4 linked regions of the Anolis sagrei genome follow. The protein of the gene in region 1 interacts with the protein of each later gene in a pairwise test. Links are inferred from orthologs where the notes say so. Each region holds a gene or a part of one and is shown in the gene's direction. Other genes may lie near its edges.

Region 1 (7,736 bases):
AAGTCAACCAGTGGCCATTTTGTCTTCCTCACTCAGCCATCTTGACGTCAAACTGTATGAAGGGAACTGGGCCATTTGTGAAGTGGTCATTAATCACAAGAATTTGCTCTTGGTTTCAGCCAAAATAATTACATGAAAACGGCTTAATTGTTGTTTAATGTGAGGCGCTCCATGCAGTTAGACTGGCCGCATGACCTTGGAGGTGTCTACGGACAACGCTGGCTCTTTGGCTTAGAAATAGAGATGAGCACCACAGTCCCAGAGTCAGACACAACTGGACTTAATTTCAGGGGACAACTTTTACCTTTACTATGAGGTTATAATGAGCCGCCTCTGTCATGGCACAGTCAACCGGCGGCCATTTTGTCTACCTCAGTCAGCCAACTTGATGTCAAATTGCCTGAAAGGAACTGGGCCGTTTATGAAATGATCATAACTAATATATATGTTTTAAAATCACAAGAATTTGCTCTTGGATTCAGCCAAAATAATGACAAAAAATGTCTTCATAGTGACTTAATACGAGGTAATAGTGACTTAATATGAGGTAATGGTGGCCATTTTGTCTCCTTCTGTCAGCCATCTTGATTTCACACTTCCTGAGGGGAACTGGACTGTTTATGAAATGGCCCAAAACTAATATTTTTAAAAGAAAGAATCCCCCCACTGCCTCTTGATTTCACCCAGAATAAAGATTCTAGACATGATGGCTTATTGGTAGCGAAATGAGAGGTAATAATGAGCCGTCTTTGACATGGTGCAGCCAACCAGTGGCCATTTTGTCTCCCTCAGTCAGCCATCTTGATGTCAAACAGCCTGAGGGAACTTGAACCATTTACGAAAGGCCATAGCTGGTATTTTTTAGTATCAAACGAAGCACAACTTCGGTCTTTTCCACAATTCTGTTGTCGTTTAATTATTGCGAGGTAAATATGAGCCGTCTTTGACATGGAACATCCAACTGGCGGCCATTTTGTCTCCCTCAGTCATCCATCTTGATGTCAAACCGTCTGAGGGAATTTGAACCATTTACAAAAGGCCATAGCTGGTATTTTTTAGTATCAAACGAAGCACAACTTCGGTCTTTTCCACAATTCTGTTGTCGTTTAATTATTGCAGGGTAATAATGAGCCGTCTTTGACATGGAACAGCCAACTGGCAGCCATTTTGTCTCCCTCAGTCATCCATCTTGATGTCAAACCGTCTGAGGAAATTTGAACCATTTACGAAAGGCCATAGCTGGTATTTTTTAGTATCAAACAAAGCACAACTTCGGTCTTTCCCACAATTCTGCTTCTTGTTGTCTTTTAATTTGAGAGCCTTTTAAAATGGTTTCTCTGTGTGTTGAGTCCTCGTCAAATGCTTCTTGTGTTCCAAAATGAAAGTCAATTAGAATGCACTAAATGTTGATGTTCAGCCTGAACACTCTGAAAGAAAACAGGAGTGAGAATGGATGTATCTGCACTGCACAGTTGTACCAGTTTTGTGACAGTTAGAGACCCTAAATTGGGTCTTCTTAGGTCCACGTCGCGGGAGCATGAAAGGAAGGAGACATTCCCAATGAAAGATAAAAAAAAACCAAGGTTTTATTTTTGATTTCTTCATGAAGAAGACGGACAGCCAGGCAACATGCGCAAATGTTACCCTTCAAGTGACTGCCGTCCCCCTTGGCTTTTGACCACCAAATATATAACCTCAAGTAAACAAGAACAATTTTTTGTCATGGAAAGTAGTCTCTTTCCAGCCCCCTCTCTTGACCTTTTGATGGAAAGTACCTACTTATACATGCGGCCTCTGCGCTTCAAAAACAACCTTTGAAGTTAACCACAACGCATCCTATCACATCTTGTTTCTTAAAAACATTTTATTCCATACTGCTATTTTTCTACAGAGAAGGGTTTGTCTCTCTTAATTTCATTCAAAGCCCCTTACTTAATTTCACTCAGAGACCCTTGAAGCCTCCTTCAACACCTTTAACTGTCATGGCCCCACATTTCTGTGGAATCCTGGGAATTATAGTTTTATGAAGAAGTTGGTGTTTCTGGTGCTGGAGTTCCAGATATACAAATCCCATAGGTTAATGTGGCATAAAACTGAGGTGCAGATGTCCTCTCATGAGAAATAGACATTTTGATTCTAATTGTAAATAAATTATGTGTGTTTTTAAATAAATAAATAAACATAAGAAGGAAGTGGGTACCAAAACACCCTATTTTTTTGCTTCTATTAAATTTGGGTTCTATTAAATTTAGAATTCAAATTCAGCCCAGGCGGGACTCGAACCCGCAACTCTAAAGGAAGAAGCCCCGCCCCCTTTTGGCGGATAATAAGGGAAAGTGAAGCAAGGAGAGGCGGGCTGGCGTCTTTGATTGGTCCATTCAATAAAGTAGGCGGGGTCACAACCAGAGGAATCCTGGCCCCGCCCCCAATCCTCAGGGGAGGCCACTTGTTTCTCCTCATAAATAACCGCCTTAGCAATTCAGACCGACTGGCCAATCAAGACCGAGCAAGGCCCGATTTGTGGGCGGGGCTTTTCATGCCATTAGTGCTTTCAATGACGGGGGCGGGGCTCCTCCAAAATTACGACCCTTTGAGGATGGAAAAAAAGAGGGCGGGGCGTCCAGAAGCCCTATGGGAGGGGCTGAAAGAAGTCGAGTCAGGATTGGTTGCAAAGGAGCCAGGAGTACTTTCACCATTGGTCGGTCCCCCTTCTGCGCCTGCGCCTTTAAGAGCGGGGTGGGGGTAAAAAAAAAAAAAACCTCGACTATGATTGGCATGTTGGAAGAAGGCGTTCCTATTGGTTGTTAGCGGGGGAGAGAGAAGGGGAGGAGACACAAGGGAGTGGGAGGAGCCTAAATAAGGGCAAGCCCCGCCTCTTTGGCAGATTCAGTGCCTCTCATTGGCTCACATCGCCTAGAAAGACCTGTGATTGACATGATGGGGGAAGGCATCTCTATTGGTTGTTAGCGTTGGAGAGAGAGAGGGCGTGAGGAGAAACAAGGGAGTGGGAGGAGCCTAAATAAGGGCAAGCCCCGCCTCTTTGGCAGATTCAGTGCCTCTCATTGGCTCACATCGCCTAGAAAGAACTGTGATTGACATGATGGGGGAAGGCATCTCTATTGGTTGTTAGCGGGGGAGAGAGAGAGGGCGTGAGGAGAAACAAGGGAGTGGGAGGAGCCTAAATAAGGGAAAGCCCCGCCTCTTTGGCGGAATGAGCGCCTCCCATTGGCTCACATTTCCTAGAGAGAACCATGATTGACATGCTGGAGGACGGCGTCCCTATTGGTTGTATGGGTACGTGAGGAGAAACAAGGGAGTGGGAGGAGCTGAAATTATGGCAAGCCCCGCCTCTTTGATGATTGACATGTTGGAGGACGGCTTCCCTATTGGTTCTTTGCGTGCGTGAGGAGAAACAAGGGAGTGGGAGGAGCTGAAATAAGGGTAAGCCCCGCCTCCTTGGCGGAATCAGTGCCTCTCATTGGCTCACATTTCCTAGAGAGAACTGTGATTGACACTTTGGAGGCCGGCGTTCCTATTGGTTGTATGGGTACGTGAGAAGAAACAAGGGAGTGGGAGGAGCTGAAATAAGGCTAAGCCCCGCCTCCTTGGCGGAATGAGCGCCTCTCGTTGGTTTATATTTCCTATGATTGACATGTTGGAGGACGGCGTCCCTATTGGTTGTATGCGTGCGTGAGGAGAAACAAGGGAATGGGAGGAGCTGAAATAAGGCTAAGCCCCGCCTCCTTGGCGGAATGAGCGCCTCTTATTGGCTCACATTTCCTAGAGAGAACTATGATTGACATGTTGGAGGAAGGCTTCTCTATTGGTTGTTAGCGGGGGAGAAAGAGGAGGCGTGAAGAGAAACAAGGGAGTGGGAGGAGTCTAAGAAAGGGTAAGCCCCGCCTCTTTGATGATTGACATGTTGGAGGACGGCGTCCCTATTGGTTGTATGGGTACGTGAGGAGAAACAAGGGAGTGGGAGGAGCTGAAACAAGGCTAAGCCCCGCCTCCTTGGCGGAATGAGCGTCTCTCATTGGCTCACATTTCCTATGATTGACATGTTGGAGGACGGCGTCCCTATTGGTTGTATGAGAAGAAACAAGGGAGTGGGAGGAGCTGAAATAAGGCTAAGCCCCACTTCCTTGGCAGAATGAGCGCCTCTCATTGGCTCACATTTCCTATGATTGACATGTTGGAGGACGGCTTCCCTATTGGTTGTATGAGAAGAAACAAGGGAGTGGGAGGAGCTGAAACAAGGCTAAGCCCCGCCTCCTTCGCGGAATGACTGCCTCTCATTGGCTCACGCTGACGAGAAAGGGGGCGGGGCCGAATGGAGTAGGCGTGGCCTGAAGGGGGAAAAAGAAGGCAAGCGTCTTCCGGCTCGACGCATGCGCGGACGGAGGGGCGGGGCCATGCATGCGCATTCTCAAGCTGGCTCTGTGAGGGGAGGACGGACTCTCCGGCTGGCGGAGGCGAGGGAAGGGAGGCGGCAGGCCAGAGTGGGGGAGGCTCCGGCCTGAAGGCACCGGTCACGGTGGCGGACCCGGGGGAGGAAGCCGGGCCTCGCCCTCCGGCCCCAATCCCCCCGCCTTCCCCCTTGGCGGCCTCTTCCTCCCCGGCGTCGCCTTCGGGCCCCATGGAGGGCCTCTCCGTGGAAGTGCGCGGCTCCAACGGGGCCTTCTATAAGGTGAGTAGGCCGCAGAGCGTTGCCAAGGAGACGGGGCATGGGCGGGGCCCCCGCGGTTGCCATGGAGATGCGGCCTAGCCTCCCAACTCTCTCCAACTCCCAGGAGGCCTAGGCCCCTCGAGGATTCTGGGAGTTGGAGTCCAGGGCTTTGGGTGGAAAGGTCACAAACATACCTCTGAGGAGTTCAAAGGAGGCAGGGAGGCTTGTTGGGGAAGAAAGGGACCTCGAAGGCTTTGTAGGCCTCAAGCTGAATGGGAATCAAGCTATAGATTGCATCAAAGGAGGCATGGGCAAATTTGGGCCCACCCTCCAGGTGTTTTGTGACTTCAACCCCCACAATTCCTGGCCTCAAACCCTTTCCTTTTCCCCCTGGCCTCACTCCAGGTGTTTTGGGACTTCAACTCCCACCATTCCTGGCCTCAAACCCTTTCCTTTCCCCCCTGGCCTCCCTCCAGGTGTTTTGGGACTTCAACTCCCACCATTCCTGGCCTCAAACCCTTTCCTTTCCCCCTGGCCTCCCTCCAGGTGTTTTGGGACTTCAACTCCCACAAATCCTGGCCTCAAACCCTTTCCTTTCCCCCCTGGCCTCCCTCCAGGTGTTTTGGGACTTCAACTCCCACAATTCCTGGCCTCAGGCCCTTTCCTTTTCCCCCTGGCCTCCCTCCAGGTGTTTTGGGACTTCAACTCCCACCATTCCTGGCCTCAAACCCTTTCCTTTCCCCCTGGCCTCCCTCCAGGTGTTTTGGGACTTCAATTCCCACAATTCTTGGCCTCAAACCCTTTCCTTTCCCCCCTGGCCTCCCTCCAGGTGTTTTGGGACTTCAACTCCCACCATTCCTGGCCTCAAACCCTTTCCTTTTCCCCCTGGCCTCCCTTCAGGTGTTTTGGGACTTCAACTCCCACAATTTCTATCCTCAGGCCCTTTCCTTTCCCCTCTGGCCTCCCTCCAGATGTTTTGGGACTTCAACTCCCACAATTCCTGGCCTCAGGCCCTTTCCTTTTCTCCCTGGCCTCCCTCCAGGTGTTTTGGGAAAAGGAAGGGGCCTGAAGCCAGGAATTGTGGGAGTTGAAGTCCCAAAACACTTGGAGGGAGGCCCCAAGTTTGCCCATGCCTGATTAAGAGGAAACAAGAGAACAAGGCCTAGCAATCCCACTCTTTTGCTTGGGATAACACCGTTCTGGGCAAAACAATTCAAAGAGACGGACTTTTAAGTTGGAAGATGGCCAGGGTGTTTTGGACTTCAACTCCCACAATTCCTTACAGCCAATAGGCTGAATTATGGGAGTTGAAGTCAAAGGCTGTTCGGAATTATAGGAGTTGAAGTTCAAAACACCTAGAAGTTCCAAAGTTTACCTATAGAATCATAAAATCAAAGAGTTGGAAGAGACCTCCTGGGCCATCCAGTCCAACCCCATTCTGCCAAGAAGCAGGAATATTGCATTCAAATCACCCCTGACAGATGGCCATCCAGCCTCTGTTTAAAAGCTTCCAAGGAAGGAGCTTCCACCACACTCCGGGGCAGAGAGTTCCACTGCTGAACGGCTCTCACAGTCAGGAAGTTCTTCCTCATGTTCAGATGGAATCTCCTCTCTTGTAGTTTGAAGCCATTGTTCTGCGTCCTAGTCTCCAGGGAAGCAGAAAACAAGCTTGCTCCCTCCTCCCTGTGGCTTCCTCTCAAATATTTATACATGGCTATCATGTCTCCTCTCAGCCTTCTCTTCTTCAGGCTAAACGTGCCCAGCTCCTTAAGCCGCTCCTCATAGGGCTTGTTCTCCAGACCCTTGATCATTTTAGTCGCCCTCCTCTGGACACATTCCAGCTTGTCAATATCTCTCTTGAATTGTGGTGCCCAGAATTGGAGACAATATTCCAGGTGTGGTCTAACCAGAGCAGAATAGAGGGGTAGCATGACTTCCCTGGACCTAGACACCATGCTCCTATTAATGCAGGCCAAAATCCCATTGGCTTAAATCAGGCATCCTCAAACTATGGCCCGGGGGCCTGGATATGGCCCCCCAAGGTAATTTACCCGGCCCTCACCCAGGGTCAACCTAAGTCTGAAACGACTTGAAAGTGCCCGTTCTACAAGGATATCCATGCCAGACTTATCTTACCTCTGTTATACAAGCACCCACGCCGTTCAGGACAATTTTATACCTCCATGCTACTTGCAGATATTAATTCAGCTACAACCTACAATGTTGCAAAGCATACAAAATCCATCAGGGATTTTTTTTTTTTGGTCGTGTCAGGAGTGTCCTGTTGTGAGAGAATTGGCCGTCTGCAAGGACGTTAGTCCCAAATGTTAACTGTGTGTCCAGTAATCTTCTTCTTTGAATCTACAATTTGGTGATGGATCTGGGCATTGCATGTTTTTACCCTGTTTCCCCTTCTTTTCCGCTCCCTCACCCATATTGTGCTTCAGTAGTTATATTTATATTTTTAATGTACCAAACATACCAAGTTTGTATGAAAATGTGACTCTTATTTCCTGTGCTAGTCAGTGACCGAAATAAATGATTTGATTTGACTTGAAAGCACGCAACAACAACTATCCTATCTCATCAGCCAAAAGCAGGCCCACACTTCGCATTGAAATACTAATAAGATTATATTTGTTAAAATTGTTCTTCATTTTAATTATTGTATTGTTTTAAAATGATTTTTGCACTACAAATAAGATATGTGCAGTGTGCATAGGAATTCAAATTACTTTTTTTTTTCAAATTATAATCCGGCCCTCCAACAGTTTGAAGGACTGTGACCTGGTCCTCTGCTTTAAAAGTTTGAGGACCCCTGACTTAAATGATCTGTAACATTCAGAAACTGGCCAGACCATGCCCTAAAGTGGAATATTGAAGCCTGCCCAGCATTTGTCCGATGCAACAGACCTTTGAGTTTCAAAAAAACTTCCCACTTGAGATTGCATTCTGTGGATTCGAAATACAGCACCAGAGGGAGGGCTGAAGTTTGGTCCTTCTCCACCTCAGTTGAAGGAAAAGAGAGCACGTGAATCCGGAAAATTAGAATAAATTAGCAGTAGGAGGT
Region 2 (7,609 bases), about 47 Mb from region 1:
AACCTTGTTCTTTGATCTTTTTTTGGGACTGTCTCCTTCCTTTCGTGCTCCCGTGATGTGGACCTAAGAAGACCCAATTTAGGGTCTCTAAGAGGTGAACTAACATCCCAGCAACTACAACTCCCAAATGACAAAATCAACCCCCCCCCCCAACCCCACCAGTATTCAAATTTGGGCATATTGGGTATTTGTGCCAAATTTGGTCCAGTGAATGAAAATACATCCTGCATATCAGGTATTACATTACGATTCGTAAAATGAGCAAAATTATAGTTATGAAGTAGCAACGAAAATAATGTTGTGGCTGGGGGTCACCACAACATGAGGAACTGTATGAAGGCATTGTGGCATTAGGAAGGTTGAGAAACACTGTTATAGAGTCTATCAGCAGGTGTAGGTTTACGACACCCTGTGATTATTCTACATGTTTTGTTCAGTGCTATATTCACCTGCTTCGCGTTGACAGAGTTGTGCCAAACAGGGCAGCTGAATAAGACAGAGCCAGGGATGATATAAGTTTCTGCAGGATGTACTGTGTGTAACTACTTTGTGCTTGGTGTTCGCAGTGTTTTCCTTTATCCCAGATCAGGGGTCTTCAAACTTTTAAAACCGAGGGCCAGGTCACAGTCCCTCAAACTGTTGGAGGGCCGGATTATAATTTGAAAAAAGCATGAATGAATTCCCATGCACACTGCACATATCTTATTTTTAGCGCAAAAAATACTTTAAAAATACAATAATTAAAATGAAGAACAATTGTAACAAATATAAACTTATTAGTATTTCAATGGGAAGTGTGGGCCCGCTTTTGGCTGATGAGATAGGATTGTTAGTATTATTGCTGTGTGCTTTCAAGTCAGTTCAGCTTTAGGATGACCCTGAGCGAGGGCCGGGTAAATTACCTTGGAGAGCCATATCCGGCCCTCAGACCTTAGTTTGAAGACCCCTCCCAGATTATCTGGCAGTGCGGACTGACATAATCCAGTTTAAAGCAGAAAACCTGGCATCAGATCCTGGGATATAGGGCCCGCCTGGAAGCGCCATATATTCCAGCTCAAAGCAGATAATTTATTTTCTGGTCCCAATTCAAGGTGCAAGTTCTTACCTACAAAGCCCTGAACGGTTTGGGACCCGCCTACTTCCATGACCGCATTTCTGTATATGAACCCATACGATCTCTTCAATCATCTGGAGAGGCCCTGCACTTGCTCCTGCCCCCTTCGCAGGCGCGATTGGTGGGGACGAGGGAGAGGGCCTTCTCGGTGGTGGCCCCCCGACTCTGGAACTCACTTCCCAAGGACATCAGGCATGCCCCATCATTGGCAGTCTTTAGGAGGAGCCTGAAAACGTGGCTGTTCCAGTGTGCCTTCCCAGAAAAGAAAATTCCCAGCAATATGTCCTCAGAATGCACTTTACTACTGGTTTAGGATTGACTGCGCTCCCTCATCTCTTTTAGAACCCAATATATCCTCCCTCGTTCATGCCCAGCATTTATTTTTTAAATTTTTAAACTATTACATTTGGCCCGGCCACAGGTTTTTAAATCCTTGTGTGTTACTGTTTATTGGTTATTGTTTATATGTGACTAGCCGTCCCCTGCCACACATTGCTGTGGCCCACATGGGGTTCTGTGTGGGAGGTTTGGCACAATTCTATCGTTGGTGGGGTTCACAATGCTCTGATGGTAGGTGAACTATAAATCCCAGCAACTACAACTTCCAAATGTCAAGATTATATTTTCTCCAAACCCCACCGGTGTTCACATTTGGGCATATTTAGTCTTTGTATAGTGTTTGGTCCAGATCCATCATTGTTTGAGTCTACAGTGATCTCTGGATGTAGATGAACTACAACTCCCAAACTCAAGGTCAATACCCACCAAACCCTTCCTGTATTTTCTGTCGGTCATGGGAGTTCTGTGTGCCAATTTTTGTTCAATTCCATCGTTGGTGGGATTCAGAATGCTCTTTGATTGTAAGTGAACTATAAATCCCAGCAACTACAACTCCCAAATGACAAAATCAATTTTTTGAGTGAAGGACATACATTGGGTTGTTAGGTGTCTTGTGTCCAAATTTGGTGTCAAGTCCCCCAGTGGGTTTTGAGTTCTGTTAATCCCACAAACAAACATCACATTTTTATTTATATAGATTTATTATATTAATTGTATTGTACTTATTGTTTTTTGTTTATTGCTTTTTGTTTTTATTGATGTGTTGTTGAGCTTGGCCTCATGTAAGCTGCTCCAAGTCCCTTGGGGAGATGATGGCGGGGTATAAATAAAGTTTATATTATTATTATTGTATTGTTGAAGGCTTTCATGGCCGGAATCACTGGGTTGTTGTAGATTATTATTTTTTTTTGGGTTATATAGCCATGGTCTAGAGCAGGGGTCCTCAAACTAAGGCCCAAGGGCCGGATGCAGCCCTCCAAGGTCATTTACCTGGCCCTTGCTCAGGGTCAACCTAAGTTGATGTGAGGGCAATCTGGCTGCGACATCTGTCACCCCATTGATCGCCAGGATTGATTTGGCTGATCTGGCTGCCTAGGCGGGTGCCCCCTTCCTCCCTCACCGCTCCAAAGTCATTTACCCGGCCCTCGCTCAGGGTCAACCTAAGTCTGAAACGTTTGAAAGCACACAACAACAACAACAACAACAACAACAATCCTATCTAATCAGCCAAAAGCAGGCCCACACTTCCCACTGAAATACTAATAAGTTTATGTATGTTAAAATTGTTCTTCATTTCAATTCTTGTATTGTTTTAAGCGTTTTTTGCACTACAAATAAGATATGTGCAGTGTGCATAGGAATTCATTCATGCTTTTTTCAAATTATAATCTGACCCTCCAACAGTTTGAGGGACTGTGACCTGACCCTCTGTTTAAAAAGTTTGAGGACCCCTCCTCTAGAAGCATTATCTCCTGATGTTTCTGTGTACCATGCAGCTGTGGACAAGTCTACATAGGGACCACCAAACGCAGCATTCCCCAAACACGAATCAAGGAATATGAAAGGCACTGAAGACTACTCCAACCTGAGAATTCAGCCATAGCAGAGCACCTGATGAACCAACCTGGACACAGCATTTTATTTGAGAACACAGAAATGCTGGATCACTCCAACAACCACCATGTCAGACTACACAGAGAAGCCATTGAAATCCACAAGCATGTGGACAATTTCAACAGAAAGGAGGAAACCATGAAAATGAACAAAATCTGGCTACCAATATTTAAAAAAACTCTAAAATTGCAACAGCACAACAACAGAGAGGAAACAAACAAGGACATATAATCACCTCTCAACAAAAGTTTGCTCCAGGCACTGTCTGCCCATTATTATTATTATTATTATTATTAACTTTATTTGTACCTTGCTAGCATCTCCCGAAGGACTCGAAGCGGTTTACAAAGGCCAAGGCCTCAAAACACAACATAACAATACAAAACCTAAGCAATTTAAAAACAATTAAAGCAATATTAAACAACAAGCAATAAAGAATACACCAAGACACAATAAAACTGGGCCGGGCCAGAGTAATGGGTACAGAATTAAAAAGTGCTGGTGTGACAGGTGATATGTAAGGATTATAGGGTAAGTGCAGTGTGCAGCAATCTTAATTCTAATAAAGTGTTTCTGGGACTTGTTATTGGAGTTTTCCTATTCTGGAAAGGCTAATCAAGGTGGTCAGTTGAAACATTCACACCTAGCTCCAGCAGACAAGACTCCTTTGTCCCACCCTGGTCATTCCACAGATATATAAACCCATTTCCTAGTTCCAACAGACCTCACTACCTCTGAGGATGCTTGCCATAGATGCAGGCGAAACGTCAGGACAAAATGCCTCCAGATCATGGCCATATAGTCCGAAAAAACCTACAACAACCCATTATTATTATTATTATTATTATTATTAAGCTGTTTGGACAGGGCCTTTGTTGAATTGGTTGAAACTCTATGAGACATTCATTGAAAAACTACAAGATGTGCTGCAGGATGTCCGACAAAAACAAAATTTTGACAGTTTAATAAACTATTTCCATATTTTTATGATAGAACCAATTAGGAAATGACATTTATAACCCAGGGACAAAAATCGTTGGAGATACTTTATAGATCCTTCAGAGTCACCTTCAGACACCAACCACATGCCAAATGGTATCGGAAACTCGCAAACAATGTTTCAGTCTTTCCTTTCTGTTTCTATGTGCTCCGGCTTCGTTTCTCCAGAGGCCCCGCCCACACAATCGGAAGTGGCTTGGCTGCCCCTTCAGCGCACGCGCCTTCTAAAGGAAGAGGGGCGGACGACAAAAGGCATCGTGCGAATCACGTTGGCCGGCTAGGCGTTCGGTGATTGGTCCAGGCGGGGTGGCTAAGAAGGAGGGGGAGGGGGGAGGTTATGCCGTCACATCCGGCAGTGGCGAAGCCGGTGGTTTCCTTGGGTGGTCGCGCGCGCGCGGGACAGCAAGAGACGGCTCTGGTTCGGGAAACCGGCTCCCCCGCCCCGCCATGGCCTCCCTCCTCAAGGTGGACCCGGAAGTGAAGATCAAGGTACGAGAGAAAGGGAAGAGCCGCTTCCGCCACGGGCGGGCCGTGTCCTTAAGCATGTGCAGAGCGCCGGGAGGCGGCTGGGCGTTCCCCAGCCAGGCTGCGGCTGACGAATAGGGCCAGGACGAGTTGGATGCTGCATGGAGCTGAGGCACCTTCTGCACAGTTGAATAAAACCCTACTTTTATCTGCTTTGAACTGGGATATGTGGCAGTGTGGACTCAGATAATCCACTTCAAAGCAGATATTCTGGGATATATATATAGTTGTGTGGAAGGGCCCTGAGCTAATAGTTCCTCTCGCTGAGCAGCCTGTGGAATCCCTTTTGATCTGATGAACTGTGGTTTAGGGATATTATTATGATGCTCTTTTGGTGCATCTGCACTGCAGAGTGAATGCAGTTTGACACCACTTTAACTCTCCTGCCTCAATGCTATGGAGTTGTAGTTTAACAAGGCCTTCTCTGGTCCCTTCTACACTGCCATATAACCCAGATTATCAAAGCAGATAATCCACATTATCTGCTTTAAACTGGTTCATATAATAATAATAATTTTTTGTCGTGTCAGGAGCGACTTGAGAAACTATTAAGACGCTTCTGGTGTGAGAGAATTGGCCTTCTGCAAGGACGTTGCCCAGGGGACGCCCGGATGATTTGATGTTTTTACCATCTTTGTGGGAGGCTTCTCTCATGTCCCCGAATGAGGAGCTGGAGCTTATAGAGGGAGCTCACCCACCTCTCTCCGGATTCGAACCTGCGACCTGTTGGTCTTCAGTCCTGCCAGCACAGGGGATTAACCTACTGCGCCACCGAGGGCTCCATAATAATAATAATAATACATTATTTATACCCCACCACCATCTCCCCAAGGGGACTCGGGGCAGCTTACATGAGGCCAAGCCCAACCAAAATACATCAGTAAAAACAACAAAGCAAACAAGCAAGTAAAACACAATACAAATATTATAAATAACATATAAGCAGTAACACACAAATTTAAAAACACAGTGGATTAAACATTTTACAACACTGGACGTGAATAGAATGAGGGTATGTCTAAACGGGGGATTTAGAGGATAATGTAGGGAGATCAATCCAACGGATAGTTAAAGTGCTTCAGAGGACATATTGCAGAAAATTAGTTAGATCAGGGCATTATTTCCTTTATTCAGGGAAGGCACACTAGAACAGCCACTTTTTCAAGCTCCTCCTAAAGCACTGGCTCTCAACCTTTCTATTGCCACGACCCCTTAATAGAGTTCCTCATGTTGGGGTGACCCCCAACTATCAAATCATTTTCATTGCTACTTCATAACTGCCTTTTTGCGACAGATATCAGTTGTAATGCAAATATCTGATGTATTTTCATTTACTGGAACCAATTTGGCACAAATACTCAGTACACCCAAGTTTGAATACTGGTGAGGTTGGGGGGGGGGGATTGATTTTGTCATTTGGGAGTTGTAGTTGCTGGGATTTATAGTTCACCTACAATCAAAGAGCCTTCTGAACTCCACCAATGGTGGAATTGAACCAAACTTGGCACACAGCACTCCCATGACCAACAGAAAATGCTGGAGGTTTTGGTGGGCATTGACCTTGAGTTTGGGAGTTGTGGTTCATCTCCATCCAGAGAGCACTGTGGACTCAAACAATGATGGATCTGGACCAAACTTGACACAGATACTTAATATGCCCAAATGTGGACACTGGTGGAGTTTGGGGAAGAGAAACATTGACACTTGTGAGTTGTAGTTACTGGGATGTATAGTTCACCTATAATCAGAGAGCATTCTGAACCCCACCAATGACAGAATTGGGCCAAATTTCCCACACAGAAACCCCATGACCAACAGAAAATACTGTGTTTTCTGATGTTCTTTGGTGACCCCTCTGACACCTCCTCACGACCCCTCCAGGGGTCCCAACCTCCAGGTTGAGAAACACTGCTCTAAGGACTGCCAATGTAGGGGCTTGTCTGATATCCTTGGAAAGCGACTTCCAGAGTCAGGGGGCCACCATAGAGAAGGCCCTCTCCCTCATCCCCACCAGTCGTACCTGCGAAGGGGGTGGGAGCGAGAGCAGGGCCTCTCCAGATGAGATCAATCCAACAGGTAGATAAAGTGCTTCAGAGGACATATTGCAGAAAATTAGTTAGATCAGGGCATTGTTTCCTTTAGTCAGGGAAGGCACACTGGAACAGCCACTTTTTCAAGCTCCTCCTAAAGACTGCCAGTGTAGGGGCTTGTCTGATATCCTTGGAAAGTGAGTTCCAGAGTCGGGGGGGGGGGGGCACCATAGAGAAGGCCCTCTCCCTCATCTCCACCAGTCACAACTGTGAAGAGGGTGGAAGCGAGAGCATGGCCTCTCCAGATGATCGAAGAGATCGCATGGGTTCGTAAACAAATGCGGTCACGCAGGTAGGCGGGTCCCAAACCGTTCAGGGCTTTGTAGGTGAGAACATGCTCCTTGAATTGGGACTGGGAACGTGAATGGCAGCCAATGGAGCTCCTTAAAACAGGGGGTTGACCGCTCCCTGTAAGTCTCTCCAGTTAGTAATCTGGCTGCTGCCCGTTGGACCAGTCAAAATTTCCGAGCTGTCTTCAAGGGCAGCCCCACGTAGAGTGCATTGCAGTAAACCAATCTGGAGGTGACTAAGGCGTGGACCACCATGGCCAGATCATATGAGTCTACACTGCCATCCAATCCAGTTCAAAGCATATAATCTGGATTTTATATGGCAGTGTAGAAGGGGCCTTACTGTTTGAATTAAGGGGGCAGATTTTACCTCAAGGTTTTCCTATTGTTGTGTTCCCGGGTGCAGGTAGAGGAGTGTTTCTAAACTGTAGAATTGATGCAGTATGACACCACTTTAATTGCCATGATTCAAGGTTATGGAATCCAGAAATGTGTTATTTGGGGAATCACCAGCACACTTTGGCAGAGAAGGAAAAATATCTTGTTAAGCTACAAGTCCCATGATTCCATAGCATTGAGCAATGGCAGTTCAAGTGGTGTCACACTGCATCAATTCTACAATGTATATGCGCCCCAAG
Region 3 (8,258 bases), on another chromosome or scaffold:
TCAAGATGAAATCACAAAGTGGGCCTCCTATGGGAGAGAGTTCCACAGTATGGGAGCAGCCAACAAGAAGGCTCTTCCTGTGTTCTCCTTATAAGTTTGTATGTTGGTGGGACAAAAAAAAAAGCCTTCAACTACAACAATTGGTGGCATTCTGTTTCTGATCCCAAAAAGCTTCTCCTGCCTTTCTCAGCAATGCCTCCCTGCTTTCTTATCCTACCATCTTGTTAACTTTCCTTCTAAATGTGTATCTACACTGTAGAATTAATGCAATTTGACACTACTTTAACTGGCATGGCTTCATGTAATCATGGAATTTGTAGTTGGAAGGCGCCAGCACATTTTGTCAGAGAAGGATTAAGACCTTTTAACATTACAACTCCCACGATTCCATAGCACTGAGTGATATCAAACTGCACTAAATCTACACTGTAGGTGCATCCTTAGAGGTGTTCACACAATTCCCTTCAAACATAGAAGATGAGAGAGGGTTGTGTCGAATAGCACCAGCCTCCTGCTGCCAATGCACATGCTAGCACCGTCCACATCTAATCTGCACATCTGGCACATACAAGGAGAGGTCTCTATATGTTAGAGTTCCTTCAAGTACGAGGAGATCAGGATGAGCCCAAGGCATTTCCTTATCTGAAGCAAACAATGTTCATTCCAAATTAAGATGGTAGTACTTGAGAAATTATGTTGGTAATTAACTCAGGCAAAAAAATCTCATGCCGTTTTTGATAACAAATACAATAAAAGAAACAATTATGTTCTGACAACCTGGCACAGACTTGGGTGCAAGATCCTGTCCCACTCTATGGAGTCTAGCCCAGAAGCTTTCACGTACATCATGTGATACAGAGGTTGCTGGGGGTGAAAAATGGACCTCAGAGCACTTGCAATGCCTAACAATGTTTTTGAGTCTTTTGGAATAGCGTTTTTCAGGCCAAAAGAGGAGAATTGCTGCTTCTGAAAGAGTTCAGGTACAACAGTTTACCTTCCAAACAGGTTACAAGGCACAGTAGAAAACAAAGACATAGCTGTGTTAATCTGGATTGGGTTGCTGTGAGTTTTCCAGGCTGTATGGCCAGGTTCCAGAAGCATTCTCTCCTGATGTTTCGCCCACATCTATGGCAGGCATCCTCAGAGGTCTGCTGGAAACTAGGCAAGTGAGGTATATATGTCTGTGAAATGTCCAGGATGGGAGAAAGAACTCTTGTCTGCTTGAGGCAAGTGTGAATGTTGCAATTGACCATATTTATTAGCATTTAATAGCCTTGCAGCTTCAAAACCTGGCTGGTTGCTGCCTGGGGATCCTTTGTTGGGAGGTGTTAGCTGGCCCTGATTGTTTCATGTCAGAAATTCCCCTGTTGTTTGAGATCATGAAAGCTTTCAACAACACATTAATCTGGACTATTAGTATTCCAGAGCAATACAGCTATGTGTTAGTTTTTTGTTATGTGATGAACATAACATATGTAGCTTTCCTGTCAATCTTGTCACATTTGCCTGACAAAAAAGGATTTCTCACTTGGGAACTTCCATTTCACAACTATGTGAGTGTGAGATTTTGAAACTTTGAAAATGTCAGGAAGGATAGAAAGAGATGCCCAGTTGCATAGTATGCCTCTCTGGAAAACATACTTTCTGGCACCCTTAAGCAAATGTATATATATGTATTTGGAAACATACATATATATTGAAATTCTTGGGCAGAGTGTGTAACTGGACCTCACAGATGCAGCTTGTTCATTCTGGCTTGCTGCCTACAATACAGACAATTAGGGCTGTGTATGCCACTGTTTACAGTCCTCCTATCGAGCAGCACACTACATTGCAATCCTATAAACAGGTTTTTAATCCTTTTTTGTGCGTGTTGCCAAATTCTGCTCCGTGATTATCTAACCTGCAAAACCCATAAACTCCTTTCCCTGCTACAAAGTAAAATGTAGTAACAAGCAATTTAATCAATAGTTGTAAAATTCAAAGAAGGACATTTGTAGTACAGATTGAGTATCCCTTATTCCAAATGCATGGAACCAGAAATGTTTTGGATTTTTTTGGGGGGGGGGGTGACAGACATGTATTTGCACATATCATCATTTGCACATATCATCTTAAAGAAAGAATATACATTTTATATATATCTTATACCCAAAGGTAATTTTATACACATACATTAGCGTACATAGCCACTGTTGCCCAGGTGTAGGAGGAGCTGGTGCCCCCTTGCTTTCATTCCTTTCCCTCCTCTCATAACTTTCCCACTTTTCTTTCGCTTCCTTCCTTCCCTCCTTTTCCTTTCTTCTCCCTCCCTCCCCCCTTCTCCTCTCTCTCTCTCTCTCTCTCCTCCCTTTGGTTCTCCTTCTCCAGCCTACCTCACAATGCTCCAGTGGCGACACAGCTGTCTTTATGGCTCCTTCCTTTCTTCCTCGCTGCCCCTCATATATGTCACCTTTCTTTCCCAGTGACATAACAAAGAGCCACTGAATTATCACTGAGCAACAGACCCTTCATACACGTTACCTTTCTTTCCCAGTGACATCCATGAGAGCCACCTAACTCAGCCAATCCAGTGATATCACAGAGGGCCACTTCACCTAGCAATGGCCTTTGTGGTACAAACAGACAAACATCCACATGTTGACTTTCATATATACAGTAGATAGATATTTTTAATAGCTTTGCTCATGAAACAAAGTGCATGTATGCTGAACCGTTAGAAAGCAAAGGTGTCACTATCTCAGCCCATCTCTGTGGACAAATTCAGATTTGGGAGAATTTGGGAATTTGGAATCCCAAATAAAGTGTGCGCAACCTGTAATAGCTAATACTGTATATTACTCCTTATCATTACAGAGCATGATCGGAAAATGGTGGAAGCATTTTCAGAAATCCATTCAGGATGCTCCTGGGAGCTCAATGGTTCAGTGGAGCCCAGAACTGAAAAACAATACTATAAAGCAGGCCTGGGCCAACTTGGGCCCTCCAGGTGTTTTGGACTCTAACTTCCGCCATTCCTAATAGCCTCAGGCCCCTTCCTTTCCCCCCTCAGCCGCTTAAATGGCTGAGGGGGAAAAAGAAAGGGCCTGAGGCTGTTAGCAATGGTGGGAGTTGGAGTCCAAAACACCTGAAGGGCTCAAGTTTGCTCATGCCTGCTATAAAGGAAATGTTACATTCCCTTGTATTTGTGTCACTCTTCTTTTGTGAATAAATATCAAAACAGAATAACATATTTTTGAGGTAATAAAAAAACACTTTTGATCCAGATGTACAAAAACACATCTTTTCTTGTGCTTCCAGTGGTCACTAAACGAATAAACAAATCCACACAAAGCAGGATGAAGTAAGCGAAATGTGGACTGCCACCAGCACACTGCCACACACTTTTGGGAAGACTGGATTTTGCTGGGTTTGCTAAAACAGGAGGCAACTTTATGTCAGTATATTTCCAGCCTCTGAGCAGGAATTTATCACTCACATCATCTGTAGTTACCTAACACACTGACTTCTGAAGTAATGTTATTGTGCCTTTAGGTGTTGCATTGTGCAGAAGTTTTCATCAGTGGCAATATAATTGGACAGCGTTTTCATCAGTTTCATAATTGGACAGCGTCACTCAATCAAAAGTGATTTGAGAACCAATTTATAAGAACATTAACATAAAGTAAAGGTAAAGGTTTCCTCTGACATTAAGTCTAGTTGTGTCCAACTCTGGGGGGTGGTGCTGATCTCCATTTCTAAGCTGAAGAGCTGGCACTGTCCGTAGACAACTCCAAGGTCATGAGGCCAGCATGACTGCATGGAGCGCCATTACAATCCTGAAAGTCAAAAATGTTCCACATTGGTGGTCCATTTTGCAGAACATGTCTTTCTTCTCTGTACAGGTTGCGAATCCCTCCTCTAAAATGCTTGGCATCAGAAGTGTTTTGGATTTTGGAATATCTGAATATACATATTCATGGAGATTGCATTCAAGTCTAAATCTGAAATTCATTTTTACTTGATTAAATAACTTATAATATTATTTCAGGAAAAATGTGGAGTGGGTGGAGGGAGGAGGGGTGGGAGTGAGAGGGTAGGGGAGGTGAAGAAGAGAGGGAATATATGTGTGTGTGTGTGTGTATATATATATATATATATTAAATTAAATTCATTTATTGTTTAAGTGCCTCGCGTTTCTGTTCTATATGCCTCACAAAGAATGCTGTGCTGGAAACAAAGTTTGCAAACATGGAACCATCAGGAAGCAAAGGTGTTGCTGTCTCAGGATGCATCTACACTATAGAAATAATGCAGTTTGACACCGCTTTAACTATCATGGCTCAAGGCGATGGAGTCATGAGAGGTGTTGTTTAACACAGTCTTTGGCTTTTCCTGCCAAAGAGCGCTTGGTGCCTCACTAAATCCCAGGATTCCATAGTATTGGGACATGGCAGTTAAAAGTGGTACCAAACTGCATTAATTTGACAGTGTAGATCAGGCATGGGCAAACTTGGGCCCTCCAGGTGTTTTGGACTCCAAGTCCAAGTTGTGGGACTTGGAGTCCAAAACACCTGGAGGGCCCAAGTTTGCCCACGCCTGGTGTAGACACATCCTAGAGCAGGCATGGGCAAACTTGGGCCTTCCAGGTATTTTGAACTTCAACTTCCACAATTCCTAACAGTGGCTGTTAGGAATTGTGGGAGTTGAAGTCCAAAACATGCCTGCTCTAGAGGAACATTTAAGGCATGTCTGAAGCGCTCTTCCTCCAAATCAACTTCTTCCGACGAAGCCTCGCAGGAATCAACAAGGCGCAAAACCTGCTGAGTCATGCTTACTCTGGAGGCGCGTGCCGGGATGTGTGTACGAGTGTGCGCGCGGGCGGGGCGAGGGAGGGAGGGAGGCAGGGAGCGAAGAGCGCGAGATCCTCAAGGAGAGCCTCGCGCCCGTCCCTTAGCGAGCCTCCATTTCTCCCCCCTCCCTCCCACCGAGCGGAGGGCGTGGCTTCCCTTAATCTCGGATTGTGACGCAGCTCGGGGCTATATATAGAGACGACGTCAAGGTGGCCGGGCCAGAACGCTCTGCGCGACCTAGCTGAGGAGGTTCCCGCTTCAACAGTGATTGGACGGAACCCACTCCCGCTCGGCCGCCGCCCGCTCGCTGCCTTCCTTTATCTATCTATATCCATCAATCGATCCATCCGCTCGCCTTTGTGCTGCCATGGCCTCGTCTCCTTCCCAGGTGCGCCAGAACTACCACCAGGACTGCGAAGCCGCCATCAACCGGCAGATCAACCTGGAGCTTTACGCTTCCTACGTGTACCTCAGCATGGTGAGCCCTGGGAAGGAGAGGGGCGCGTGCGTGTGCGCGTGCGGTGGGCAGGCCTCGAGAGAGAGAGAGCGGGAGAGCGCGCGCAATGGAGCGCTGGAGGGCCAAGGTCCTGCCGCCTCTTCCTCGGGTGCCGCGCATGCGCCTGGCGTGCCCTTGGGAGGCGCCTTCCCTCCTGGACTTCGCCCCGTCCTCTCCAGGAGGGATGGGAGTAAACAGCCACGGCTCCCAAAGAAATCTCGCCTTCTACTGCCTTTGAGGCCCGGATGGGGATGACACAAACCACTGATACGCATTAAGAGCGTTCTTTCGCATTATTTTGTGCGCGTTAAATGGTCAGTGTAGATAGGGCTTAGTCTAGCTGTGGATTCCCCCCATTCACATCCTTGAAGTTCTCCTGAGATAATAGTATGTCGAGGGTCTTAATAGCCAACCTGCAGAGTGTTTGGAAGAGAATAAAGTACACCTACAATGTGAAATTAATGCAGTTTACCGCCGCTTTTAATTACCATACCTTGTGCTATGGAATCCTGGGATTTGTAGTTTCCCAAGGGTTCTTAGCCTTCTCTGGCAAAGGGAAATTTGTCTCACCAAACTATCTCTCCCGGGATCCCATATCATTGAGCCATGGCAATTAAAGTAATGTTGAACAGCATTTATTGTACAGGTCAGATGCACCTTATGGAAGAACCCTGCCTTGCAATCAGTTTCCCCTCTCCCATTAGGATGGGTTAGGCAGCCACAATCCAGCTGCTCTCTCCAGAGATTTTTCCTGGTTGCTTTTTTGTGGCCAAATGCTGCAATGCAAAGAGGAACTGTCTTGTGATGAGCTTGCTTACTTCTCGAGTATTGCAAGATAACTGCGCCACTGGCACACTGCTTGCTGTTGAGTCTTTTTATTCCACTGGACTGTTTTGAGGTAACTGAAGAGTGGGGAGGGCCCCCTGGTGGCACAGCAGTTGAACTGCTGAGCTGAACTTGCTGACCAAAAGGTTGGCGGTTTGAATTGGGGGAGCGGGTTGAGGTCCAGCTGTTAGGCCCAGCTTCTGCCAACCTAGCAGTTTGAAAACATGCAAATGAGTAGAACGATAGATACCGCTTCTGTTGGAAGGTAATGGCACTCCATGCACTCATGCTGGCCACATGACCTTGGAGGTTTCTATGAACAACACCAGCTCTTCAGCTTAGAAATGGAGATGAGCATTCCCCCCCCTCCCCCTGCGGGGTCGGCCATGACTAGACTTAATGTCAGGTGAAACTTTTACCTTTACTAAAGCATGGGGAGGGAGAGTGTTTACACTTTTGTGGTGGGGACCTTGATAAGAATTGATATTGGCTCCTGTTTGCCATTTGCCGGCGCCTGTTTGTTTGCAGAAGCCCCAGTTCTTATCTCTCCAATAAAGAGTGATTGTACTTTAATTGACTTTGGACCTTTTCTCTGGAACATTTGTTTGCATTTGTTGCATTTGTTGACCGCCGTTCTCAGCCCTAGGGCGACTCATATAGCTTTCATATAGCTTGGTTGTTTTGAACACAGCTAAAGCCATTTCCCCAAGTTACTGTTAACTTATATGGTGTGTGGTTGTAAACCTATCAGCATAAATGTGGCAAACATATTTTGGCAGATGTATGTTAAAATGTATTTTTCCAAACACTGGAAGAGCTTACTGATCGAATCCACATATACTCATAAATTAGTTGACCATATGTGGAGAGAGGAAAATGCCAGCAGGGCTAGACGTTCCTGGCCAACTGCGGCCCCCATTTTCCCTTCAAAAAGGCCCTAAATTATACTATGGCTGAGAGAATAGAGGGGATCAATAGTTCCTTTAGGTTTTCCCAGGATAGACAAATAAATGCCCTTTTCCACTCTATTCAGAAAAGAGGATGTTTCCATTTCTTGCTTTTGATAAAGCTTTAAAGTATAATACTTTGACTCATGGATGGTGACCCAGATTTTTTTTTTGGGTTGACTTCTGAATAAATTTTCTAGACTCACATATGATTAAATGCAGTACTTGGAACTCAGTAGCTTTAAAAATGAATTTATTGACACTGGCTGTCAAGGGGTAGTCCAGCTCTTGTTGCTCTGGAGTTCTTTGTGATGTAACATTCACTGGAATACAGATTTCAATTTATGACTAATAGTCAAGGGGAATTGTAAGTGATATAACATACACTTATCTCAAAACCGTTTGTCTGGCAGATGGTTTCTAAAATGGAATGTGCTTCTCCAGCTCTCTTCAACCTGTTTTTGTGGCCTAAACTGTACATTTCACAGAGGTAGCAAGACTGATTAGAGCAGGGATGGAAAACTTTGGCCCTCCAGGTGTTTTAGACTTCAACTCCCAGAAATCCCAACCAGTTTACTGGCTGTTAGGAATTGTGGGAGTTGAAGTCCAAAACACATGGAGGACTGAAATTTCCCTGTGCCTGGATTAGAGGTTCAAAAACTCATCGAAGTAATGTAACAATTTGATACTTAAAATGAGTATTCAGAAATGTTTGATCGCTTGACTGTTGGCAATTTCTTTCCAAGCCAAAAATATCAGTATTGACTACCCTAACTTGCTGAGCTCTTAGAATTATTAAATCCCCTTTTTCTGTTTAAAGGGCAAACTCTCACCTTAGAGGCAAAGCAAGTTACCTTGTTCTCCCTGTTCTGAAGTGATTTTCAGAACTTACTTTCTAGGGGATCTACCAAAAGAAAAAATGACAATTAGACTTGTAACTTTGGTTCATCTAAAGGAGCACTGGGCAAAGTTGAAAGTTCCAGATATCTTTGGACTGCAGCAGTAATCATTCCTTACCATTTGTGGCACGGGTTGTTCTTAGTTCAAATCTATCAGTTTGTCCTCTTTTCCAAAGTCATAGTTCTGTATTTTGCATTAGAAAAAGATCATAGCAAGACCTAACACAGCCAGTTTGACAGGCTTGTTGTGCAGCAGTTG
Region 4 (7,455 bases), on another chromosome or scaffold:
CCACCCCAAGTCCCCTTGGGGAGGTGGTTGGCGGGGTATAGAAATAAAGTTATAATAGGTAAAGGTAATGGTTTTCCACTGACATTAAATTAAGTCCAATCGTGTCCAACTCTGGGGTGTGGTGCTCATCTCCATTTCTAAGCCTGCATTGTTTGTAGACACCTCCAAGGTCATGTGGCCAGCATGACTACATGGAGCACCGTTACCTTCCTGCCAGAGCAGTACCTATTGATCTACTCACATTTGCATGTTTTCGAACTGCTAGGTTGGCAGAAGCTGGGGCTGACAGCGGAAGCTCACACCGCTCCCCGGATTTGAACCTGCGACCTTTCAGTCAACAAGCTTAGCAGTTCAGTGGTTTAACCCAATGCGCCACCGGGGTCTCCTTATATTATTATTTCTGCCTTGATATTCTGGGATACAGGGCTGTGTGGAAGTGCCCTCAGATATTCAAGTTCAAAGCAGATATTGTGGGTTATTCTGCCTTGGTTATATAGCTGTGTGGAAGAGCCCCGAGTTATCTTGTGCGCCAGCTGCGCCCGTACCTTGGGAAGTCAGACTTGGCCACGGTGGTCCACGCTCTCATTACCTCTAGGATAGACTACTGCAATGCAGTCTATGTGGGGTTGCCTTTGAAGACTGCTTGGAAGCTTCAAATAGTCCAAGAAGAGGCAGCCAGGTTAATAACTAGGGTGGCATACAGGGAGCACACAACTCGCATGTTATGCCACCTCCACTGGCTGCCAGTTTGCTACCGGGCACAATTCATAGTGCTGGCTTTGGCCTATAAAGCCCTAAACGGCCCCGGCCCAAATTACCTGTCCGAACACATCTTCCCCTATGAACCATCATGGAGATTAAGATCTTCTGAGGAGGCCCTGCTTTCTGTCCCGCCACTGTCACAGGCACAATTGGTGGGGACGAGAAACAGGGTCTTCTTGGTGATTGCTCCCCTGCTATGGAGGGTCACCCCCATCCTCCTGTCCTTTAGAAGGATGGTAAAAACTTGACTGTGGGACCAAGCTTTCAGGACAGGGCAATGAAGCGGCAGTGGAAAAGATAACAGGGCCAATTGGATTTGATGCGGATGGCTAGGACAGTTTTAAATGATGTATTTTAATGTATTTTTTTATGTTTATGTATTGTATGTGAATTTGTGTCCCGGCATTGAATGTTTGCCGTGTATGTGCTGTGCTCTGCCCTGAGAAGGGCGGAATATAAATGCTTTAAATACATAAATAAATAAATATCTGGGTCCACAATGCCATATAACTCATTTCAAAGCAGATAATGTGGGATTTTACACAGCTGTGTGGAAGGGGCCTTCGATGCTGAGCAAATTCAATGCAATCACTGTTTGGTGAAAACACAAACTTTGACCGGAATCGGTGAAGGCCCTGTGTAATAAAACATGTGGAAAAGTTGGGGTGTTCGGAGCAAATTTACCTGCAAGACATCAGATTTATCAACCAGGGCCCTTCCACAAAGCCCTATATCCCTGAATATCAAGGCAGGAAATCCCACAATATCTGCTTTGAACTGGGTTATCAGATAATGTGGGATTTCCTGCCTTTATATTCTGGGATTTAGGGCTGTGTGGAAGGGCCCTCAGTAAGTATGAGGGCAAAAACAGTGGCAAAACACTAGCAAAAAGTAGTGTAACTGCTAATGCTCAATACTGTGGGACAATGAGAAGAATCAAGATGCATCTACAGCCAGGCATGGGCAAACTTCGGCCCTCCTCCAGGTGTTTTGGACTTCAACTCCCACAATTCCTAACAGCCTACCGGCTGTTAGGAATTGTGGGAGTTGAAGTCCAAAACACCTGGAGGAGGGCCGAAGTTTGCCCATGCCTGGCTGTAGATGCAAGCTTTAGGAAGACTCACAGCCACAACTGGTTGCCTCCAAGGCTCCAGCACTGGAGATCAGACCTTTCCCTGCAGAGCCCCCTTATGTGTGGCCCCCCAAAGCCCCTTCCCTTACCTGTGCTGCAGCCCCACCAGCCCCAGCGTGATCACATGCGGCACGTCCAGCTCGGTGGGCCAGACCCCGGCGGCGAGGCATCCGAAGACCCCGCACTCCTCCCCGATGCCCAGCTCCTCAAACTCCATGGTGCGTCGCACACGTGTCGCGGCCGCCCCTGTTGTTGTCGCTCCTGGCGCGGCGCTTGTGGCCGCTTGGGCTTGTGGGCGAGGACCGAGCCTGCTCCTTTTTTCCCGCCCCTCGGCGCCTCATTTGCATACAGGCCTGATTTGCATAGAGAGAGGGCGCGCACTAGTCTCGCGGCTGCTCCTAAGTTGAGAGTCCTGCCCCTTTTTTCTGCTTTAGGACTCCATCACCTCCCTCGTGTGTATGTGTGATTTGGTCTCATGGCAACAAAAAAGTTAGCCCCCCCCCCTCCTGTGAGGAAGTCGCCCCTCCCCAGTCCCCGCCTCCCCTCTTTTAGGGTTCCCTTGGTATTTCCTGCTTTTCCGAGCTGAAACTTGATTTTCCCTCTCTGACTTTGATTGGGGATAAGAAAGAAGAGTTGTTTACTTTTGCTTCCTGAGGGAATCCTTCCTGGAAAAAGAGAGAAATAGAGGGAGGGGGAAAGAGAGAGGAGGGAGGGAAGGGACGGTAAAAGAAGGAAGGAAGGAGAGGGGAAAGAAGAAAGGAAATAGGGAGAGGGAAGGAGGGGGAATGAGGGAGGAGAAGACATGAAAGAAGGAAGGAGAGGGGAAAGAGGAGGAAAGAAGAAAGGAAACGGGGAAAGAGGGGAGGGAGGGAAGGAGAGGGAATGAGGGCTAAGACAGAAGGAGGGAGGAAATAAGCAAGAGAAAGGGAGAAGGGAAGAGAGAGAAAGGGGGAAAGAAAGGAAAAGGAGAGAAAAAGAGGGAGGAAAGGGGGAAAGAGAACGAGAGGAAAGATGACAGGGAAAATGAGAGAAAGAGCAGGGAGGGGAAGAAAGAAAAAGGGGGAAAGAGGAGGAAAAGAAGACTGGGAAAATAAAGAGAAGGGAAGAGAGAAAGGAGAGGAAAGAAGAGAGGAAATATGGGCAAAGGAGAAGGTGAAAGATGAGGAAAGACACAAGGAGGGAAAGAAAGGAGAGAAAGGGGGAAAGAAAGGAAAAGGAGGGAAAGAGAGGGGGAAAGAAGAATTAAAGGCAGAAGGGAGGAAAAGGAGACAGGAAAATGAAGGGAAGGGAAGCGAGAAAGTGGGAAAGAAGAGAGGGAAAGAAGGGAAAGAGAGAGGAGCGAAGGAGAGGGTGAAAGGGGAAGAAAGACACAAGGAAGGAGGGGAAGAGAGAAAAGGGGAAGAGGAAAAGGGAGGAGGGAAGGAGAGGAAAAAGACAGAAAAGGAAGAAGGGAAAGAAGAAAGGGAAAGGAGCGAAGGAGAAAGATGTGGAAAGACACAAGGAAGGAGGGAAAGAAGGGAGAGAAAGGGGGAGAGAAAGGAAAAGGAGGAAAAGAGAGGAAGTAGAGGGGGAAAGAGAAGGAAAAGACAGGGAAAGAGGAGGGAAGGGAAGAGAGATTGAGGGAGAAGGAAGTAAAGAGGGGGAAAGAAGAATTAAAGGCAGAAGGGAGAGACAGAAGACAGGGAAAATGAAGGGAAGGGAAGACAGAAAGAGGGGAAGAAGAGAGGGGAAGAGGAGGGAAGGGAAAAGAGAATGAGGGAGAAGAAAGGAAGGAGAGGGGGAAAGAAGAGTTAAAGGCAGAAGGGAGTGAAAGAAGACAAGGAAAATGAAGGGAAGGGAAGAGAGGAAAAGGAAGGAAAGAAGAAAGGGGAAAGAGAAGGAGGGAGGGAAAGAGAGAAAGGGGATGAGGAAAAGGGAGGAGGGAAGGAGAGGGAAAAGACAGAAAAGGAAGAAGGTAAAGGAGCGAAGGAGAAGGGGAAAGAGGGGGGAAAGACAAAAAAGGAGGGAGGGAAAGTAAAAAGGGAAAAGGAGGGAAGGAGTGGGGAAAGTCGGAGGAAAAATAGGGAGGGGAAAGAGAGAGAAGGAGGGGTGAAAGGGAAGGAGAGAAGAAAGGGAGGGGGTAAGGAAGAGGGAGAAAGGGTGAAGTTTGCGAGGACTTGGGGGCGCTGGAATAGAAGCGGGAGTTGTTGAGAGTGCAACTTCGCCATGGCCCGCGGGGCTTTGGGGCGGGAAAGAGGCGGGCGAGGGGTGTCCGCCAGAACTGGCCTCAGATTGGAGGGAATGCTTGGGGGAAATTGGGCTGCGAGGGGGCGTGTGCGCGCGCCATTGAGTGTGTGTATTCTGTGGCGCAAGCCCTGTTTGCGGGGCTGCCATTGGCGCGTTCGGGGCGCGCTCCCCGCCCCTCATTGGCCGCCCCCTTCCGCCGCCCGCCCTTCTTACGCCGCCCCGCCAGCGCGCGCCCTCTCTCTCCTCCTCGGACTTGCTCCTCCGCGGACGGCTCTCGCGAGCAAACTTTTCCTCCTTCTCCTCCTCCTTCCTCTTCTCCTTCTTCCTCTTGTGCTAACTTCTCTTTGCCTTTGACTCCTAGGCGCCTCGGGCTCCTGCTGCAGCAGCCATGGCTCCCATCCGCCCTACAGGTGAGTGAGTGCCTTCTTGTCCTCCCCCCAAAGAAGGCCTCCTGAATGCCCCACAACAAAGGAGTCTTTTAACCCCTAGAATTCCTGACTATTGGGCAAGCTGGCTAGGGCTTCTGGGAGTTGGAGGCCACATGCTGAGTCCTCCAGGTGTTTGGGACTCCAGCTCCCAGAAGCCTCCTCTGCTTTGGTGAGTATACTTTCCCCAGGTTTCCTAAACCTAAGATGCTGCAAAATCCAAAATGGATGGCTGAGACCCTGTCTGCACTGTCTATTTAACGCAGTTCAAAGTTAGTTTCAGAGTGTGGCCTTTAGGCAACAAACACCCACAAAAGTGCATAAAAGAAAGATCTTAATGGCTTCAAACTACAAGAAAGGAGATTCCATCTGAACATTAGGAAGAACTTCCTGACTGTGAGAGCTGTTCAGCAGTGGAACTCTCTGCGGCAGAGTGATGGAGGCTCCTTCTTTGGTAGCTTTTAAACAGAGGCTGGATGGCTATCTGACAGGGGTGCAGACAGGTAGAGGGTGCCCTCGGTGGCACAGTGGGTTAAACCCCTGTGCCAGCAGGACTGAAGACAATAGTTCGCAGGTTCGAATCCGGGGAGAGGCGGATGAGCTCCCTCTACCAGCTCCAGCTCCTCATGCGAGGATGTGAAAGAAGCCTCCCACAAGGATCATAATACATTAAAAATCATCCGGGCGCCCCCTGGGCAACGTCCTTGCTGACGGCCAATTCTCTCACACCAGAAGCGACTTGCAGTTTCTCAGGTTGCTCCTGACATGACCAAAAAAAAAAGGGGGGTGCTTTGAATGCAATTCTCCAGATTCTTGGCTGAATGGGCTTGGACTGGATGGCCCATGAGGTCTCTTCCAATTCTATGATTCTAATGTACATCAGTGGTTTGTGTAAATAGCGTCTGAATCTCAAACTGGTTCCAGGTGATCACCTGCCCAGTGAAACCACTTTTCTTCGGCCCTTTCCACACAGCTCTATAAAAGCCACATTGAACTGGGTTATATGGCCATGTGGACTCAGATAATCTACATCAAAGCAGATATTGTGAATTCTCTGCCTTGATATTCTGGGTTAAATGGCTGTGTGGAAGGACCCTTAAACATCATTTTGAAACAGCCTGAAATAGCGACACCTCTGGAATGCTGTGAGTGTTTCAGGCTGTATGGCCATGCTCCAGTAGCATTCTCTCCTGACATTTCACCTGTATCTGTGGCAAGCATCCTCAGAGATTTGTTCGAAGGTCTGTGGGAATGAGGCAAGTGGGGTGTGTGTAGAATGTCCAGGGTGGGAGAAAGAACTCTTGTCTGTTTGATGCAAGTGTGAATTTTGCAATTGGCCACCTTGATTAGCTGGTGAGTAGCTTTGCAGCTGCAAAGTCTGGCTGTTGCTGCCTGGGGACATCCTTTGCTTTGGAGGTGTTAACTGACACTTGATTGTTGGCTGTCTGGAATTCCAGATTGGTAATACCGGTTGGACCCTGGTGGCACAGTAGATTAAAGTGCTGAGCTGCTGAGCTTGTTGACCGAAAGGTCGCTGGTTCAAATCCGGGGAGCAGCGTGAGCTTCCGCTGTCAGCCCCAGCTTCTGCCAACCTAGCAGTTCGAAAACATGCAAATGTGAGTAGATCAATAGGTACTGCTCTGGTGGGAAGGTAAAGGCACTCCATGCAGTCATTCAGGTCACATGACCTTGGAGGTGTCTATGGACAACGTTGGCTCTTCGGCTTAGAAATAGAGATGAGCACCACACCCCAGAGTTGGACACGACTGGACTTCATGTCAGGGGAAAACCTTTACCTTAAAACTGATTACGGGTATTTAAAAACATCAGAATCAAGGCAGTAAGAAAGGGACACCTCTCAGAAACAGAAGGATGCCTGCCATAGATGCAGGTGAAATGTCAGGAGAGAATACTACTGTAACATGGCCATACAGCCCAAAAACTCACAGCAACCCAGTGATTCTGGCTATGAAAGCCTTTGACAACACAGTGACATCTCTGCTTTCTGATGACTCAGTGGATGCAAAGGAATTCTGGGAACTGATGTCCAAAACACCTGGAAGACCAAGCCTGTTCAAGACCTCAGCCATCTAGATGTGCTCTTTCCCAGGCTGATTTCAGAAAGTAGACCGAACCTATCTAAACCTTAACAGAATGATTCTATAATTCGGGTTTGCCAAGGTGTTGTTACATGAAATTTCTTTGCAGGCTCAATTTCCTGATAGGGTTTAGTCTTACAATATATCCAAGCAAATTACATGAACTGTCTTTATTAAGCTCAGATGTTGGAAGCTAAGTAGGATCAGCCCTAGTAAGGACTTGGCTGGGAGCCCACCAACAAATGCCAGGTTCTGAAGGCTATATTTCAAAGGAAGGGACTGTTAAACCACCTCTGGGGATTCCTTGCCTAAGGAAAACCCTATGGACTTGTCATAAGGTGACTTGCAGAACTGGATGGTGGAAAATTCTGATGATACAAAGTAACAGGCTCTACAAAGCCATGAGGCTATAACGGTTTTGATGTTGTCTGTAATCTTTTTGAGTTCCTACAAGAAAAAAATTAATAATTTTTTCCCCATGTCTTCCCCAAGTTTGGAGAAGATACTGTTTTGAAGCACACATCCCAAAATCCCTTAGCCAAGATGGCCAGTGACCATGCTAATGGGGATGTTGAGAATCAAGGAGTTATGATTTAAAGCTGTACCAGTCCCCTTCACACACACACAAACATTCTGATGAAATATAGACTGCAAATAATGCCAGGTACAGAGGAAGGATCCAATACAGCCAACTCTATGTAAAAAAAAAAAAACAAACCTATGAAATTAATGGTTTTTCCATAAATTGACAAGCAGTTTGACGTCAGTGGGTTAAAGCGCTGTGCTGCTGAACTTGTTAACTGAAAGGTCG

What was found.
Region 2: the proteins of FXR2 (region 1) and PSME3 interact in a two-hybrid assay, tested with the Homo sapiens proteins (2 studies listed by BioGRID and IntAct). The link is inferred for Anolis sagrei from reciprocal best matches to the Homo sapiens genes FXR2 and PSME3.
Region 3: the proteins of FXR2 (region 1) and FTH1 interact in binary tests that used the Homo sapiens proteins (3 or more experiments, as listed by UniProt). The link is inferred for Anolis sagrei from reciprocal best matches to the Homo sapiens genes FXR2 and FTH1.
Region 4: the proteins of FXR2 (region 1) and multifunctional protein ADE2 interact in binary tests that used the Homo sapiens proteins (3 or more experiments, as listed by UniProt). The link is inferred for Anolis sagrei from reciprocal best matches to the Homo sapiens genes FXR2 and PAICS.

What each region holds. Positions count from the first base shown.
Region 1 is NC_090026.1:3,122,845-3,130,580, forward strand, and holds the start of FXR2 (RNA-binding protein FXR2), read left to right. Parts: upstream 1-4,384; 5' UTR 4,385-4,636; coding exon 4,637-4,687; intron 4,688-7,736. UniProt on the Homo sapiens protein: mRNA-binding protein that acts as a regulator of mRNAs translation and/or stability, and which is required for adult hippocampal neurogenesis. Specifically binds to AU-rich elements (AREs) in the 3'-UTR of target mRNAs.
Region 2 is NC_090026.1:50,212,799-50,220,407, reverse strand, and holds the start of PSME3 (proteasome activator complex subunit 3), read left to right. Parts: upstream 1-4,305; 5' UTR 4,306-4,513; coding exon 4,514-4,555; intron 4,556-7,609. UniProt on the Homo sapiens protein: Subunit of the 11S REG-gamma (also called PA28-gamma) proteasome regulator, a doughnut-shaped homoheptamer which associates with the proteasome. 11S REG-gamma activates the trypsin-like catalytic subunit of the proteasome but inhibits the chymotrypsin-like and postglutamyl-preferring (PGPH) subunits.
Region 3 is NC_090021.1:237,529,826-237,538,083, reverse strand, and holds the start of FTH1 (ferritin heavy chain), read left to right. Parts: upstream 1-5,034; 5' UTR 5,035-5,199; coding exon 5,200-5,310; intron 5,311-8,258. UniProt on the Homo sapiens protein: Stores iron in a soluble, non-toxic, readily available form. Important for iron homeostasis. Has ferroxidase activity. Iron is taken up in the ferrous form and deposited as ferric hydroxides after oxidation. Also plays a role in delivery of iron to cells.
Region 4 is NC_090025.1:73,077,258-73,084,712, reverse strand, and holds the start of multifunctional protein ADE2, read left to right. Parts: upstream 1-4,340; 5' UTR 4,341-4,508; coding exon 4,509-4,530; intron 4,531-7,455. Other genes in the region: PPAT (amidophosphoribosyltransferase), read right to left, coding at 1,984-2,111. UniProt on the Homo sapiens protein: Bifunctional phosphoribosylaminoimidazole carboxylase and phosphoribosylaminoimidazole succinocarboxamide synthetase catalyzing two reactions of the de novo purine biosynthetic pathway.